Cricetulus griseus: one gene and its partner. The protein of the gene in region 2 interacts with the protein of the main gene of each other region in a biochemical or structural test. Links are inferred from orthologs where the notes say so. Each region holds a gene or a part of one and is shown on either strand. Other genes may lie near its edges.

Region 1 (3,142 bases), about 55 Mb from region 2:
GCTGGAAGAGGATTCCTCTCCATCCACGGTTGATCACCACCACCCCCACCCCCCGCCACCCCCACCCTCATGCACCTTTCTGGTTTTTCCAGTCAGGGTTTCTCTGCATAGCCCTGGCTGTCCTGAAACTCACTTTGTAGATCAGACTGGCCTCTAACTCACAGAGATCCACCTGCCTCTGCCTCTGCCTCTGCTGGGATTAAAGGTGTGTGCCACCACCTGTCATTTTTGTTTGTTTCTCAAATGCATCCCTCTGCCCTTTTCCTGTAACTGCTTCTCACCTCATGGCCTCCATGGCTTTCTGAACTGGCTTTCCTTTCCCAGCACCAGTGACCCTCTCTAGACACCTTGCCTAACTGTAAGCTACCAGAATCCCCACTGAACTGCCTCTGGGTTCTGTACTCTGCACCCCTGGCCAACCCTTCCCAGATCCCAGCTCAGGCTAGGGAACTCTCCACTGCTTGGCTTCTTCCAGCCCCATTGCAGCTCTGCCAACAGCAAACTGCTAGCTCCCAACCCAGCACTCACCTGAGGGGTGCTCTGGGTTCCCATCTGACATGGGAGAGCCTTCTTCAGGGTGCCGGTGGTCCAGGTGGGCACTCTTGTAGTGGGCCTGGATGGCAGCAGCCCCTCCTTGCTCAGCTTCCCCGCCTGGGCATTCTGCCTCCCCCTGGGCTGCCTTCCCATTCTTCCGTCGCCGAGGTTGGTATTTGTAGTCCGGATGGTCCTTCTTGTGTTGCATCCGGAGCCGCTCAGCCTCCTCAATGAAGGGGCGCTTGTCACTCTCGTTCAGCAACCTAGAGGTGGAAGACACACCAGAGCCAACATGAGTGCTGGGGCACCCAGGTGAGCTTCCATCGGAATTTCATTCCTGGGATGGGGCACCCAGAAGGCAGAGCCAAGGTAGGGCTGTGCCCTATGGTTAGTGCCCCCAAAAATGCCAGACCAAGGAGTCCCAGCCTGAGGTGGTTGTGATCTCTGTCCCCTACCTCTCATTGGCTAGAGGACACCAGGGGCCAGTCTCTGAGCACACAGTCAAAAAGGAGTTACAAAGGGCAGGTTCAGGAGAGGGAAATGCTCCTGTTACTGAAGTGTATGCAAGTAGAACTGGCCACCTCATGGAAGGGTGAGCCACACCCTAGAGGGGTGTGGAGAGAAGCACATGGCTGCAGAGGAACCCAGTCTCTGCTACTTACGAGCTGTATGCTAGACTTTGCTCAGTTACTTCTCTGCCTACAAAGCGGGGATGGTCTCACCTACTTCTCTTGGGGGTGGGGTCACCAGAAATATAGATATGAAGTGCCCTGGGCCTGGGGAGGGAGGAACCTAGAGAAAATGGGTGCTACTCTAATGGTGCTTGGGGAGGAGTTGCACAGGAGAGCCCAAGGGTAGATCCTCAACTCTAAAAAACATGATTTGGTGAAATTTCCCTATGGTGGGACTGAGTTCTAGGTGTGTGCCCCCTTCAATATGGGGGCACTGTTTCCAGAGACAGATCCCATATCTGGGACCCGGGAGTGACAGAGGGTAGAGGAATCTGAGGCCAGCCCACAGCATGGAGAAGCCCTCATTTCAGTGCTCCCACCCATATGACTCCAGCTCAGGTCAAAGTTGAAGGGTGGAGGGTACCAGGACTTGCCTGCCCCAGGGTAAGGAAGACAGGGTGGGGCATCTTAAAGAGGGGAAAGAACAGATCCATAGACTCCAGACACAGGGACCACTCTTACACTTAAGGGACACTCAATTGGTGCCCTCTTCTCCTAGGCAACAGAAGACCAAGCCCCCTCTCCGGGCTGGTTATACCAGGCACTTTCTAGCCAGCAGCAGCATTCCTTTGCAGCTTAGCCTCCTGGTCCGCCCTGCACCCTCCCGGCATTCCCCAAAGGACCCTCTAGTGAAGCCAGACTCCATTAGGGTCAGTGGACTTTCAGGATTGATGGAGACCCCCAAGGCCCAGCCTTAGAAAGAACCCCATAACAGGGTGGTACAGTTCTGACAGCATGGGCCCAGCACAGATGCTCCTGGGGTGGCCGGTGACACTGGACACTCGCCCCTCAGTGTCCCCCTCCTGGCTGGCAATCTGAAATCACCAAGAAAATGGCCAGGAATGTGGGAGAGGGCCACACATACCAGAAGTGAGGCAAGATGGTAACACTGGATCCTGCCATCACCTCCCACGTTATATTGTGCCCAGTTAGCCCTAACAGGAACCTGGGGGTGCTGTGGTGCCAGCTCCAATCTTAGCCCCTCTGTGCCAACACTGTGCAGCTCTCCTCATGCACCCCACCCCATCCCCACAGCCAACCTTCACTCCTATACAAGTCCTTACGTTCAGGGTTGCCCTTCTCCACTGTCGCCCCCACCCCCACCCCAGCTCAGTACTCATTTGCCCCCTTTCTTTCCACCCGCCTCTGGGTTTGGAAGAGGTGGATGGAAAAAGAGGCTGGTTCCCAGCCCAGTGGGCAGCTCCTTGTGGGACACTGGCTACTGTTATATGTGCCCTCCTGTTAGGCCAAGAGCCTGTGCAACGTGGGGCAAGGAGAGGCCTATGAGGCCCCTGTCGGAGGAGCTCAGATGCAAACTAGTCCTAGTTTCCTGGCTCAGACTACTTTCCATACAGGTTAAGCAGCACCAAACATCCCATGGATCAGCATGTAATGGTTCCTCCCCAGATGGCAGCCAAGGTTAGTGTGCCAAGTACTCACATGACCACCCAGGACCTGTGTTCAAGAGCATTGATCCCAACCTCAGGCACGCTCTCCTCAGTCTGTGCTTATAATGTTTTCCACTTCTGTCTAACCAACCATCTACGCTCCTTATGTCCTTGGAATCAGGAGCTTGGGAAAGATGTCTAGACTCTTGGAGAAACTGGCCGGCCCAGCCCAGCCCACATTCCAGTGTCTCTGAGGACCCCCATCCAGGGCCCAAGGAGCCACCACCTATTGACACAGTCTTGGCTCCTTGGTATTGTTTTGCCACCTCCCGTCCCTGGGGCTGGGCCCACAGCCATCAGGGCTCTCCTGCCTTCCCTGCCCCAGGTGGACTGCTGTGGGCACAGTCTGAATCATAGCCAGGGCCGAGTCTGCCCGAAAGGGACTCAGTCAAGGATTCTAGAGTGGGAATGGGATAGGGACAAACTCTT
Region 2 (3,824 bases):
ACACACGCAGCTTTTTAGGTCATGCTGGGACAATTCACAGTTAGGGGCAAGATCAGCTACAGGCTGACAATGTCATATTTAATACCACGGTATCAAAGGATTGAGACTAATATTTTTATTCCTGAGACAAGTTTGACACAACTCTGTGTCCCGGGCTTATCCCCATATGATCCTGGCGCTGACCTCATTAAGAACATGTGTTTCTAATGCCAGAGGTTATTTCATTTTGGCCAACCTCTGTGTTTTACCTACTGACAATCCGGCTTTATGTCCCAGCAATTAATAACTGCAAGATGTTATTGACATCAGTTAAGAAAATAATTACACAAGGGAGCCTGAGCTGTAGCCATCAGCTAGCTGGATTTGCCACAAAACTGATACTGGGATGAAAGGCTTAATCACACTTCCAGGTCCCCTTTCTCAGGCAAGAGGTGATCTCTCTCCCTTCCAGGAGGAACTACCCCCTAGAACGTCCAAGGCTTACTTTGTCCATACTGCCCATACTGGTAGCCTGTGACAGGGTCCATACTGTAGCCTGTGGTGCTATAGGTGGGGGGACAATAGGGCTGAGATGTGGGAAGACTGTCCACATTCTTCATATGTTCCAGTCTCTGACTGCAGCTGGCTGACACCGTGGTCGTGGGTTCCAGGCCCCCAGTGAGAGGGGAGAGAGCATAGTCGGTCTGAGGCTGGTGCGGTACCCCACCGTGGTTGGTCAGAAGTCCCATTACCTGCAATAACAGGCAGATTGGAAGAAGTTAAAGTGTGGGCAGAAACAGATGGCAACCCAGAACCATCAAAAGGTCTTGAAAGGGCAACTTTTATGTCTTTACAGATCTGTTGAGGAGTGTTCTGAGCACTTTGACCTCCATTTAAAGTGGCAGCCACATGACCTCACCCAACGATAACATCTGACTGTAGTTTCAGAAAAAGGAAGGGGAGGGAGAAGGAAAAGAAGGAAGGAGAAGAGGAAGGCAGAGAAGGAGAGATTACACCATGTCTGCTGTGATAACATCAGACTGGAATTTCAAAGAGAAGTAAAGAAGTGACACAAAGAGGGAGACATTATATCAGTCTATACAGAAAAACTCCTAATATAGTACATCTGGACACCCGAGTGATTGTGTGTGTGTGTGTGTGTGTGTGTGTGTGTGTGTCTGTGTGTCTGTGTGTCTGTGTGTCTGTGTGTGTGTGTCTGTGTGTGTGTGTGTGTGTGTGTGTTCTCGTGTGCACATGCACAAACACACGCACGCACACTCAAAAGCACCCATACATATGAGTGCATATGTGTTTCTGGGGATTGGACTCAGGGACTTATACATGCTAAGCAAGTACACTACCACACAGTTGCAATCCCAGCCAACCAATTCAAAAGTCACCTGCACATATTTGAGTGTATGTGTAGGCACATATGTGTGCCTGTACATGTATATATGCACATGTGTGTACATATGTGTATTCGTTCATATGTACGTGTGTGCATATATATATATATATATATATATATATATATATATATATATATAATGTTTGCATATGTATCTAAATGTGTGTATGTGTAAACTAGAAGTCGAGGCTGGAGATGTAACTCTGTGGCAAATCCCTGAGTTTGACCTCCCAGCACTGTAAAAAATAGAAAATTAATAAATCTGTCAAGTTTTTGTGCATGTATCCTGAGACCTCCATGTCTTTTTTCATCACGTTCCCTCTCAGAACAGCTTCTCTTTGGTTCATCAATCAGCACCTAGAGATCATCCCTCTCCCCAGGGTCCCCTGGTGCTTCCTTCATTATGCCTTCTATGTCATCTCACTTTGCCACTTTGATTTGACACATGAGAGCCATGATATCTGCTGCATTTCCTACCACACCCCCCAACCCCCACTGCTTGGAAGTCAGTGATGCCAAGCAGACAGACATGGTGGCCAAGGTCTACAATCCAAGCACACAGAAGCTGAGGCAAAAGGATTGCCCTGAGTTGGAGGCTGACCTATGCTATAACTTGAGACCTTGTCTCAAAAAGCCAAAGCAAATCAATAGATCCTACAAGCACTTGCTTCTATTATCTATCCATTTCTTCCTTCTCAGACTCACGGTTTACACGTAAGGGTGCTGAAAAGGACACACGTGGGTTTTTTTTTTTTTTTTTTTGGGTTGTAAATGACCCCAGAGATGAGGACACTATATCAAATAGTAATCACAGAGCAAAAACCCTCTGGTTAGACCCATGAAGCTTTTCCCAAATTCATATGCACTGGCCCTTCCAACCCTTTCATCATGGAATGTCAGTGGATAATTAATTCAAAACTAGAAAATGTCCACAGGAAAGAAAGTGACCTTTCCCAAAAAGCAACTGCAGAAGAAATCTACTAGTAGGTGAAGAACACCCCCCCACAAGAAAAACCGTCCAACTAAAAATGTATTTAAGTGAAGGCACCCCTCAGCTGCATCAAGGATCCTGCCCAAATAAACCCAGACCACAGCCCTCTGTGCTAAGCATGGAGTTCTGTTCACAGACAGGCAATTCTGGCAACAGACTCCTGGATCTAAGGGCTCTATCACACTAGTGTTGGAAGCTACTCATGAACCCCATAAAGCTTTCTTACTGAGACTGGAGAACAAGATCCCATAACTTCCTTTGGGGAAAGTTTACATAACCTTAGATGTAAACAAAATCTTAATAAAATTTTAAACTGATCCATCTTCAGTGGGCCACAGGGTACCATCCCAGAGGAGTGCTTAGTGCCTTTCTCCATCTAAAAGGTCACTCAACTCCCTGCTCAGCCTTTCAATTACTGATACAAACTCACACTAGAAGGCAGGCAAGAACAGTCAAAGCAACACAAGAAGTCCAAATTTTTGAAGTCATCCCAGGGATGAAAATTTGTTGGAGCTATATGGCAAGATGTGCAAAAAATAAAAAATAAAAAATAAAAAATAAAATAAAGAAAGAAAGAAAGGAAGGAAGAAAGGAAGGAAGGAAGGAAGGAAGGAAAAAAAGAAAAAAGTCTTATCAAAAATTTAATCATCAGTAGACAAGCATAGTTTTATTGGGGATTACAAGTAAGGGACCTTGACAACATCAAGTGAAAATCAGTAGGCCAACAGCTGCAGGAAGACAGTCACTAGAACACAGCCTCTAGTGGTACCCTGCCCAGCACTGTTGATGAGTTCATTTCATTTGCATTTTTTGAATGTAACTAGGAATGTATTTAAATGATCTCCTGGATGCTTACTACCTCTAGGGAATCCTCCTCCTTTTCTTCATCCTCTTCCCCCCCTCCATCCTTTGAGCTTGTATAGATCAATTTTTCAGTGAGTACATGGAAAATTCTTCAACTTTTGTTGGTTCACTAATTTACAAAATACTTTATTTCAATCCAAGTTAGGAGTGTCTATTTTTAAAGTCCTTAAAATATAATCTACAGCTGGGTGTAGTGGACCCATGACTATAATCCCAGCACTTGGGAGATAGAGGCAGAAGAATCCTGTGTTTAAGGCTGATCTCAGCCACAGAGTGACTTTGAGATCAGCCTGGTATATGGAACACCCTGCTTTCAACTCAAGAAGTACATGAGCTGGCCTGATGAAAAGAACAGACAGGGCAAACAAACAAGGGGAAAATGTGATTTTTCTTACAGAAGGGAAAGAGTGGGGGAAGGGCACATGTGTGCTGTGAATAAGCTGTGTCAAGTTAAACAAGCACATGGGAAAGACAATTTTGACTCTATCAGTCCTGAAAAGAAAACATTCAGTGTTATTGGGTAAAAAGGAATTAAATTTTAAATGAATGGTGTGCTTCAGGAAGATATTTATTTAAAACTTG

The links.
Region 1: the proteins of paired box protein Pax-3 (region 2) and Sox10 form a complex in vitro, tested with the Homo sapiens proteins (2 studies listed by BioGRID and IntAct). The link is inferred for Cricetulus griseus from reciprocal best matches to the Homo sapiens genes PAX3 and SOX10.

The regions. Positions count from the first base shown.
Region 1 is NC_048595.1:376,276,922-376,280,063, forward strand, and holds part of Sox10 (transcription factor SOX-10), read right to left. Parts: intron 798-3,142; coding exon 529-797; intron 1-528. UniProt on the Homo sapiens protein: Transcription factor that plays a central role in developing and mature glia.
Region 2 is NC_048595.1:431,082,645-431,086,468, forward strand, and holds part of paired box protein Pax-3, read right to left. Parts: intron 732-3,824; coding exon 485-731; intron 1-484. UniProt on the Homo sapiens protein: Transcription factor that may regulate cell proliferation, migration and apoptosis. Involved in neural development and myogenesis. Transcriptional activator of MITF, acting synergistically with SOX10.